3 linked regions of the Bombyx mori genome follow. The main gene of each other region encodes a partner of the protein of the gene in region 3 in a complex. Links are inferred from orthologs where the notes say so. Each region holds a gene or a part of one and is shown on either strand. Other genes may lie near its edges.

Evidence for each region. The genes of interacting proteins can lie anywhere in the genome.
Region 1: DNA polymerase epsilon subunit 3 (region 3) and chromatin accessibility complex 16kD protein share a complex: the UniProt entries of both Homo sapiens proteins name them as parts of the CHRAC ISWI chromatin remodeling complex. The link is inferred for Bombyx mori from reciprocal best matches to the Homo sapiens genes POLE3 and CHRAC1.
Region 2: DNA polymerase epsilon subunit 3 (region 3) and DNA polymerase epsilon subunit 2 share a complex: the UniProt entries of both Homo sapiens proteins name them as parts of the DNA polymerase epsilon complex. The link is inferred for Bombyx mori from reciprocal best matches to the Homo sapiens genes POLE3 and POLE2.

Annotation. Positions count from the first base shown.
Region 1 is NC_085111.1:17,749,423-17,753,840, forward strand, and holds the start of chromatin accessibility complex 16kD protein, read right to left. Parts: upstream 2,893-4,418; 5' UTR 2,305-2,892; coding exon 2,179-2,304; intron 1,696-2,178; coding exon 1,438-1,695; 3' UTR 1,432-1,437; intron 1,056-1,431; 3' UTR 1-1,055. UniProt on the Homo sapiens protein: Forms a complex with DNA polymerase epsilon subunit POLE3 and binds naked DNA, which is then incorporated into chromatin, aided by the nucleosome remodeling activity of ISWI/SNF2H and ACF1.
Region 2 is NC_085134.1:2,670,556-2,674,115, reverse strand, and holds DNA polymerase epsilon subunit 2, read right to left. Parts: upstream 2,347-3,560; 5' UTR 2,230-2,346; coding exon 664-2,229; 3' UTR 593-663; downstream 1-592. UniProt on the Homo sapiens protein: Accessory component of the DNA polymerase epsilon complex. Participates in DNA repair and in chromosomal DNA replication.
Region 3 is NC_085130.1:7,455,820-7,458,886, forward strand, and holds DNA polymerase epsilon subunit 3, read right to left. Parts: upstream 1,619-3,067; 5' UTR 1,494-1,618; coding exon 1,134-1,493; 3' UTR 605-1,133; downstream 1-604. UniProt on the Homo sapiens protein: Accessory component of the DNA polymerase epsilon complex. Participates in DNA repair and in chromosomal DNA replication.

The sequences.
Region 1 (4,418 bases), on a different chromosome or scaffold from region 3:
ACTTTGTGTGGCCATGGGTAATGCATTGCTACCTACAATGCTTATAAAAAACAAAAACAAAAATAATAAAAAAAATAGTAGTTATAAAAATCCCACTCACATGAAATGTTTACAATTCATTCTATATTTAATCTACATCTACAAAACTCGCACTAAGCACAGATCAAATGCAATTATGAGTCCAGATGGCCTCAATTGTCACATGAAGTTGGAGTTTCAATCACTTGTATGGTTGAAACTCCAACTTCATGTGACAATTGAGGCCGTCAGCGCAAAAGTGGCCAAAGCTTACCATAGTTATTATGGAGCAGAGATATTTAAATTTTCACGAGTTTAAATTTGAGTACGCAAAAAACAATAGGGGCAAAAATAATGTTTACAGTCATCTATTACCTATGGGTGAAACTATGAATATGCCAGTTTTGCATCAAAATTTATTATATTTTAAATAGATTGCAATATACATAATTATAAACATGATTATGAAAAATTGTGGGTTAGGCCACTTTTGCGTTGACGGCCTCAATTATACTCCTGTATGCCTTAGATATTGTGAGAAACATACTTCAGTGCTCTTAATTATAGTTGAAATTATTTGATAAAAGTGTCACACAACAAATAGTTTGAGATGGTCCATGAAATGACAATTACTTTTAGATTACACCAGATCAAAGTTTTAGCAATATAATTTATAAACTTTCTGTTATTTATTTCACTTTAATATTTGAAAAACTTAAAGTAATCATAAGTAATACAAATTTTAATTGCATAACATTTTGATTAACAAACAACATGCAAAGGCAGAATTCTATCATTTAATGACACAATCATCAATTTAATGACACAATTAAATGATACTTGACGAGCACAATATTTGTAAATGTTATTACATTTCATGAAAGAAAAGAAACCAATTTGTAAAATTAAGTTAATAAAAATAACCCAACGCCAGAATAGGCTTATTGGCACAGATTAGGAGACACTCAACATTTGTTTCTGTTTAAATTCTTCACTTTTCTTCAGTCTGTGAATTTGTCCCTTAGTGTTTGTAGTTCCTGAAATTATAACATTTGAAGATTAAAATCACGATCATCTAGTTTGCTAAATTATTTAAAACATTGTGCATCCACTAACAGGCCACTATTGGTGTATTGGGAATGTTGTTATGTTTTAAAATAAATAAATAAGATTTAGTCTGTAACATTCGAAAAATCACTGCCAGGGTTGATGAGTTAGACTTCTACATCAAGTAATTCCAGTGTAGTTATTTACTTTTTTAGGATCTTTACATGTAATTTTTTTCTTAAATATATTTGAGAAAAGTATTTATGACTACACGCATTTTAAAACTAAATTAGTGTATTAGTCCTTAAATTAAATTATTTATTAAAATTTAGTAAAAATTTAGTAAATTAAATTATTCTAACTTACAGCTTATCACTCTTGTTCATTGTTACTGGATGAGTCTTCACTGCTGTCTTCACTGGAGTCTTCACTTGAATCATCACCGTTCTTGGCAGCTTTCTTGGCCATCATCTCTTTGAATTGACGCACAGTGATCTTTCGAGGCATGATCTCTCTGAGAAAGTCTAAAGTGTCATCCTCTTGAACAATATCAGCAATATGTTTGTATTCTAGGAAGTTGGCATTACTGTTTTTGTGTGCCCTCTTTGCTAGATCCATTACAAACAATTCCTGGAAATTAGTGTGATTATAATCTTTATCGGAGTCCATAGCTATCACAATGTGATTGTCACCACTCTAAGAACCTACGAAATAAGATCTAAGTCTCAGTTGTACTATAAAATACTGTCCAGACTATTCAAAATAGAATATCATCAATCATTGGAGTAATTGGTGTAATAAAAATCAAACTCATAAAATTTTAAAAAATTGCATAAAACTAGTCATTACGGTAGGGCGCACATCGGTATTTCGGCTGCGAAGCAGTAATGATTTTCGGTTTGAGGGGCGAGGCAGCTGTTACACTATACAATTGAAACCTCATGTCTCATGTTGGGTAGAGACATTCACACAGTGATGAGGTCTATAGGCTCCAGTAACTACTTAACACCAGGTGGGTCGTGAGCACGTTCAACCGTCGAAGTAATAAATAAAAAAAAATCGCCTTGGGAAGTTTAGGTTAGTTTAACTTAGGTTAACCTCTAGAAAACTCACTGTAACTTTAGTGACTAAATATAGTGGTTCTGGACCAACTGCTTCTACGTCCGGTGAGCTTTTCATTATTGTTTTAACCCTGGACAGGGGCAAATGCAGATCTTTTTCACTTTTTGGGGTAGCCATCGTTTTAGTCGAAAGGAAATACAAACTAACTAGAAATATTTTATAGGTGAACTATTAAAAATTCATTTCAAATAGATTATTTAAAACAGACCGCGAATCTCTAAGCATTTTAAACTGAAGTCAAAACTAAACGTCAAAATCAAAAACTTTGTTTTGTTTCATTTGTAAATCGGAAAGGCATGCGGAACATTGCTCATTAAATATTTTAATTTTCTGTAAGATTTGTTGGGTCCAAAGTGAGTGAGCGTGAATTTCCGCAGATCTTTTATCTTGAAAAAAAAAACAGTCACTGCTATGTTAGCCACAGTTTTATTCCAATTCCTCAATAATCGTGAACAACGATTATTGACGTCTAATACACAAAACAACACCCAATTTATATATTATACATCACAATAAACTATTAAAAAACATTAAAATAAAACTTCAAGTGACGCTTCACTCGGGTTGCCGCCAAAACTCTCTGATCATATTATTTAATAAGAATAGAGTAATGGTAGGCCATTGAGATTTTTACTAATGGAATCATTAATATCTAAAAATAATTATATAAAGTAATAATTATTATTACAATATATAAAAATTGAATTGAACAAAAATAAACTAAAAAAGTCTGTGAATTATAACCATTAGCTATTTTTTTTAATTTGTTGTTCAAGTCACAGACAACTCTTTCGTTTGGCAGCATATAGGTTTACTATAAGGCTGTATGGGCTAAGCCCTTTGCCTATTGGCGAATTTAAAAACTGTGCCATACTCAGTTTTGGAGATGAATGAAGTTAGCCCCTCAAAAAAATTTTTTTTTCCTATTTTCTACTTATTTTCTATTAATTCGTTTGTTCATCATTTGTTCATGATTGTTCACTGTTAATAATTGTTTGTTCTGCAGTTATTTATTTAAAAAAAATATTTAAAAATATACCTACAAGTTAGCCCCTCTAATGCAATTTTTAATATTTTTTCATCCTTAATGACTCGTAAATATTTATTTTCGATTGTTCTTATATAAAACACGTTTGTTATCTTTCGAAATTACTCGTTTTTTGTTTAATTTACTATTTTTATTAGTTGAATAAATGTATGCAAAATATGTGTACTGCGCATGCGTCAACTATAATGCCTAAACTTTCTACGTGGTTTTAATGGTGAAAAAGAAAACAAATATAAATCCTGAAGGAGCAATTAATTGGTATACAGTTTAATTAAAAAAATTAAAAATTAAATAAATGAAATAATGTGCATTGGCGTTAAGTTAGACCAAATACATTTTTTCCATCCTCTTACCTATCGTATTAAAATGTTATTTTACTAATGTTAGGAATATAATTTCGACTGTGTAAAAAAGTTATTATAATGTATACCTATATTATCTCTTGAAAGATAAATAATGAACATATTTACTTATTTGTTTATATTACCTATGTGAACTCCCTATCTTTTTTATACCTTCATAACGATAAGTAGGAGGATGGAAAAAATGTATTTGCTCTAACTTAACGCCAATGCACATTATTTCATTTATTTATTTTTTAATTTTTTTAATTAAACTGTATACCAATTAATTGCTCCTTCAGGATTTATATTTGTTTTTTTTTTCACGATTAAAACCGCGTAGAAAGTTTAGGCATTATAGTTGACGCATGCGCAGTACACATATTTTGCATACATTTATTCAACTAATAAAAATAGTAAATTAAACAAAAAACGAGTAATTTCGAAAGAGAACAAACGTGTTTTATATAAGAACAATCGAAAATGAATATTTACGAGTTATTAAGGATGAAAAAATATTAAAAATTGCATTAGAGGGGCTAACTTGTAGGTATATTTTTAAATATTTTTTTTAAATAAATAACTGCAGAACAAACAATTATTAACAGTGAACAATCATGAACAAATGATGAACAAACGAATTAATAGAAAATAAGTATAAAATAGGAAAAAAAGAAATTTTTGAGGGGCTAACTTCATTCACCTCAGTTTTGGGGTGTTATCAAATAAGTATTTTTTTTTTTTGTAAAACAATGCCAGGGTGAAAGAAATGTTGATACATAAACTAAAACACGTGAAAAAATAAGGCATAGTTTTTCAAGTACAAAAAGTTTAGACATAAA
Region 2 (3,560 bases), on a different chromosome or scaffold from region 3:
GGCCAAGGCCAATATTTTGTGTTGTCTATGAGCGATAGTGTGGAGGTATTACGACAAAAAGAAGATCTTCCACTGAGCGGGTGATGTTGCAGGTGGATCGACGGTCCGAACGTTGTTAAACTTGTATAATATATGCAAGCTTATCTTGAAAATGTCGTAACCGAGATTCAGGCATCTGTCAAATATCTTATATTATATGATGGCTAGCCAAGGGTAACCACTCATCATGATGTGGGCTTTTTACTCATCTGTTAATAAACGTGATTAAATAACATCTATATAGACCCCGGTAGGATGGTCCAGGGAGTATCTGGAATAGCAGCAGCACTGCTTGACTAACCGCGACACCCAACGTCAAGTAATTTTCAGCCAGTCATGCATACTTAATGAGTCAGCCAGGCATACTTAGGGTGGTTCTGTGTTGACCTCTGTGCCCTTTCTACCTTTCCTGGGTCCTGTATCGGGCAAGCTCAGAAGTTGTCACAAGACAGGGGGGTGGCTTAATGGATTTTGCACCCTAATAAATTCATTATTTAAATGTAACTGTAGAAAATTGTTTATTTGAAAATGGGTATGAAAATAAAATATTAGATTGTAAAACAATTTGATTTACTTATCAACTATGATTCAGTTCTTGAGCCAATTTTTAATTAACCAGGTATTTCATCCATCATCTTTCGGTATTTGTGAATCTTCAACTGTTTTCGTACTTGGTACATACACTTTAAATGAGAACTCAGTTCGCGGAAAAGACCCAGGGTTCATAATCTGCGAGTTTTGATATGAGCGAGTATAAGGTTGGAAATGGTCGCCAATCACTACCAAATCCGGCATCGGATACAAACTTAAAGAATCCGAATGCTTCCAATACACTGGTTGTATAGCTAATGACAATGGTGACAGTGTACATTGACTAAACAAAGTCTTCACCAAATGATCAGGAATATCACCAGTCTCCGGAAAATGTACAGAATTCCTACACATTTTCATTACTAAATCTTGCCTGAAAACTACTATCTCTTGTGTACAGTATTGTATTCTGCATGGGTTCGTTGTGAAAATGACTGCATCACCTAATTTTTCTCTTATACCTTGTGTTATGGAACTTGGAATTGCTGGTCTTGGTAAAACATTGGCAGCACAAGGATCCGATCTGCCAGGTACAAAGATAAATTTGCATTCATCTTTCAATTTCTTGAATTGAGCTATTATTTCACCTAAGTTTGATAATGCCATTCGTAGCTGTGTGCAATGCTCCTGACCATACGGACACGAGAGGAATTCACCCATGAACACGATAGCCACAGGTGGAAAATCATTGTAGCCACTAAATAATGTTCTTAAGTTATTCATAACTTTCAATGTGTCTATCCAAACATCAGATAAGAATATAATCATTCCTTCTTTATTTTCCTGTTCAATCTTTAGCAATGACTTAGAGTTTTTAAGTAAAGTCTTAGAATTTCCACCAAATGTATTTAAATTACCAAAAAATGGCAGTGACGAGGCTCTGCTTTCCGGCGGCGGTAGCACAAGGCCCATAACATTTAATACCTTGTCATCATAATAACCTTCAACTAAAACGAAGCTATATTCAGTGAATAAGCCTGAGTGGTACCTTGTTTGTGACATATCGAGAACAACACTGCCAGTTGGATCTTCCAAGTAATATTTTCCTTCTGTCAACTGTATTAAAAGACCGAGCACAATCACATCATCGATTCGACTAGAAGAGCTTAGCAGCGCTTCGATTTTGCGCAATTGGAAATATTTCTCCTCGGCCAATGAAGGCAAGGCTTCTTGAGCAAACAATTTATTCCTAACAGTTCTTTGCCATATTATTTCGTATCTGTCTATCAAGAATTGCGCTTTCCACTTCGGTTCTGGATATAAATTGTTCTTATGTACAGATTTAACGAACTTATTTCTCTCATTGTCGTAACTCAGTTTGGGAATGTTAAAAGCGTCGATTACGTTTAAAACAGTTTCGGTCTCTTCAAGACCCGATGCAGAGCATTCTTTGAAGGCGATTTCCAGGTGTTCTTTCTCTAATACGGGCTGTGAAATACATTGTTTTAAAATGTGTGAAGTTAACTTGTCAAGAATTGCCCGTCGTTCATGTGGAGTCATTGAAGTTATTTGATCGGCAACGTAAGTGCTAGCTTCTTTGCGTATAGTAAATCCACTAAGTTTAAATGCATTGTTAACTTCTGCACGTACCGATTCCATACTTTTTTATTATAGGTAATCAAATTTTTTGTAAACAAAATCACATATTTTTAGTAAATAAATTTTAAAAAGCATGTTTATTTTTGTTTATCCAATTAGACAAGCAAAGGAAACATAGCCCATAAATCCGACTTTTAGCCTTGTACTTTATTTTGATAGGTCGAAGCCGTTTGTAATACGAAAATGTAAATGCATTTTTTAATTACTTAGCTGGGTAGACAAGTTCACGGTCTACCTGATGTTAAGTGGTTACGGGAGTCCATGGACCTATACCTTGAGATAATATAAGGTCTCTTAAGGTTCTAAGGTCTCAGTTTTTACAGTAGTGCAATTATTTTTATTACACGGTGTTATTCCTTCACCGTGGAAGTCTATAACTTCGTGAACATTTGATAAAATAACATATTTCATTATAAAAATTGTTTGCGGGATTTGAACATTGATGCATCGCAAGATACGAATGCACCGAAAGTCTTATCCTTTAGGCCACGAGAACTTCAAAATGCATGTGTCATAATATAAGGATGTACGGTACCGTGGTTGCGGCAGATTCTTCGCAAAAGAAAAATGGTGGGAATACATTTTTCAAATGGAATCAAAACACTAATCAAAACCAGCCAGATAAATTTATGCAATACAGCCAGAAATATTTATTAAACTGTATTGTATTCATAGACCTATCCGTCAGTGATTGTATTGTATTTTTTTTTTTAGCCTTTATTGCTGTTTTACTAACTTAATACATTACCTAATAATAAATTAAATTTAAGTGAACTTATAATCAATTATTCCGTTCGACGTTCGGCGTGGTTTTAAAAACAGCTTGTCTCTCGACAAAGGCCTCCTCTAAAGATTGATAAAACTTTTACTCTAATCTAATAGAATTCAAAATAGATTAAAATAACATATCAATGATTTGATCCAAATTTTATTACGTACCTACAACCTTGTACCTACCTACTAAAGTTTAATGACAGCAAAAAAATATTAAAACTACTCTTTAAAGTGGTGTACTGTACTATGATTATCAATTTTATCTTGTACTACAAGCAGTACAAGCAAAAGTATTGAGTAATTTTTAAAAAGATGACTAATCGGTAATCGGATTCTTGCGTCATAATATGTATTGCTTACATTTTTACCGTTTGGAGTTTGGGTATTCCCGCTTCTTAAGCTGACGAACGATTGAACACAACATATGTTTATAACTAAAATCCGCTCATATTTATTTCAGTTTGACTTTCTCGCTTGTTGAATAAATACACAGGAAATGTTTATTTAAAATAAAATACCTATTAAGAAATCTACAAACATCCTTAAAGTTTTAAAAG
Region 3 (3,067 bases):
ATAATTCTTCCATTTTTTACTTTGTCAGTGGAACTACTTTGAGACTTCCTATAAACACTTATTTTGAATCTTATCCTATGATGTTATATTGTATTTGAGTCGTCTATTATCAAAGGTGGCAATCTGTGCATTTGGACAAAAAAATGTTATTGATATGTCAATACAGATTGATTTGAATATAATCGTCTCCTTCAAAGAATACGGTTCAAAACCTGCATTAAATAAAGGTTAATACTTAACCTGTTATTTATCTAAGATGTCGTTCAGAAGAGTTTTGTGACTGCCAACAGAATACAAAGTCAATAATTCGTTTTTCTGATTTACCAATAATTGTCCAAAAGTCACATTGCCGGCTTTGATAATAGTCGACTCATTTGATTCATATTTCGTATCATTTAATTCAAATTGGTTGTCATGTCCCACTCTTGACAAAAGCCAAAACAAACTACCAAGTTTCGAGAACTACCACCATAGATAAGCAGGGCATTGAATATTGTATGATATATTGAATGAAAATAATTGGAGGTTTTCACACAAACATAACCATTATTTTAATTTCTCTTGAGACTATTCTAGAATACTGAAAAATAATAGAAAAGCCAGATTCTAACAAAATTTTCTTATAATTACAAGTTTTAAAAGGATGTGTGACCAGATCTAGTAATAATTGTAACATTTACATAACATACATACATACATAACCTAACATTAAGTAATTTTTATGGCAGTAAAAATTAAGTTTAGAAAAATATCAGTAATAAATCAAATAAAATACTTTTAATTTTAGCAAATTGCAAAAACAAATTTTGAGAAGTTCTAAGTTTTAATTGTAGTTAATTTACTGATGTAAAAGTAAGTGGACACAATTCATTTTGGGATGCTTTTGAAGTTTACTTGTTTTTAATAAAAGTTTATTTAATTTTAAAACACTTCATACATTATTACCAACTGATTAATTATTGCGAGGTAACTGTTGTAAATGTTCATGGGAAACTTGTTTCATTTAAACATTTATCACTTTTGTAACACAGGCATGGGTTCTTTGAACTTATTTCATATAGTTTTTCAGCACAGTTTCTGAATATACACCACTAAGCGCCACTATACATTTTAAACTCAAGTCGCAGTAGTATTCAATCGTCTTCTATAATCTCAGCGTCTTCTTGTTCATCTTTTTTCTTCATAGAAGCGGATTTTCGTGCCGAAGCCATGGTCTTGTAATGTTCCAGAGCTTCTCCTAAAGGTTCCACAAATCTATCAAATTCGATGTCTTTCATAGCATCTATCACGTCCTGCCCAGTGAGAGCCTTCCTTTTTTTGTTCTTAACAATATTTGTAGCTGCTGAAGTCACATAAAGTACAAAAACTGAAGCCGCCTTAGCGAGGCCAGTTCGCGCCTCTTTTGATATCGATACGCCACTGGGAAGAGCTTCTTTTACGATTCTAGTTACAACTGTGAGTGGTAAATTCAAATCTTCGAGTTTTTCAGCCATTTTTGTTTATAACGTTCCTATTTATAAAATCTGGAATTAAATGAAAACATTAATTTAACCGCCAGAAGCACTAATGACATTTCTTGACATTGATTGGAGCATACAGTCACAGTTATAGATTATACACAGTTACGAATGTTACGATAGTACTCTCTATGTGTATTATCTATGGATACAAGGGTTAGTAACTGCCGCCTGTCGCCGTGCTACAAAAAGTCTCAAAAATAGGTACTCGGAATACAATGCCTTTTTTTCAAAGTTTTCATAGGTATCGTGGCTTAAACTATATTATTATGCTGTATGAGATACCCGGTGAAGTTACATAAAACGATGGGACAATACCAGCAGTTAGATCCTGCAGTGTAGTAGCCTACCGAATTCACAATTAGTATTTAGCGTTATCACGTGTTTATTTGTTGTTTATTCAACGTTTCTATTATTCTTCAAAATTAAAACCTCAAATCTTATTCACGTTACATGCTATAAAAACATTGCGATCTGTTTTCCAAAAATATTACAAAAATATAGGATTGCGTGATAATTTTAATTCACTGGTGGCAAGAAAGCACGCATTGATGATGACGCATAATGTCCATTTAACGAATGCAGACCAGAAGAGGGCTTGTAGTGCAGCAAAGATCAAGACAATATGAGATAAACTTAAACTGTATGCTTTGGTGGGAAATCGACTTTATCGTCTAATTAACTCAAAATATTTAGCAGTCACCATTATCCAAAATAATTCACGGTCAAAAAATAAATTACTCAAAAGTATGTAAAAGTTTATTTTCGCTATTATTTTTTGGTTAAATTATTATAATCTGATAATCTGTTATTTTAATCAGCCATTTAATTCGCTTGAAACCTTGTTGATTGTTGATAAAAATAAAAAGCAATGGTTCGAACACTCGTGTTGTTTGTAGAATTATTTGATTTGCACGATGTCGATATAATGAGAAACGAACGAAATTACTTGCTCATTTCTGCCACAAAGCATTATTGCATTCCGGTTTGAAGGGAGGAACAGCAATAAAAATTTCATCTTTAAAAAATAACATGGCCTTCAGTTCACAAAAGCTTCGCGTTCGTTATCATGTTACCCGTAAACAGCTGATTTACGAGTGACCAGTGTGCTTAAAAACATTATTTAGAAAATATAATAAAATATATCAGTAGGCTTACCATAGATTTACTAGGCATACATTGACTACCATGAAAGCGTATATTAGCGTATCAAAGGACACGTTGTCCGTGTTAGTTCGTTTTTAAAACATAATAGGTATCTACTTTTTAGATAGAAATTGACAACTGAATCAACTAAACAGGTCAATGACCTAGTTTTACAGAAATCGATGAAAAATTAAAAATGAATGACGTGAATACATATAAAAGGGAAGGTCAATTGTTGAATTTACTAAGTACGTAATAAAATTGAAATAAAATTTATAAATACATTTTTATTGAGTTAGGTACGCTTGGAGGTATTGCGCAAACTCGTGGTGCAATGTTGATGCCAGTGTTGTTTTGACAATAGTGATGTCCAAATGAACAAAAACGCGATAGCGTGTTATATT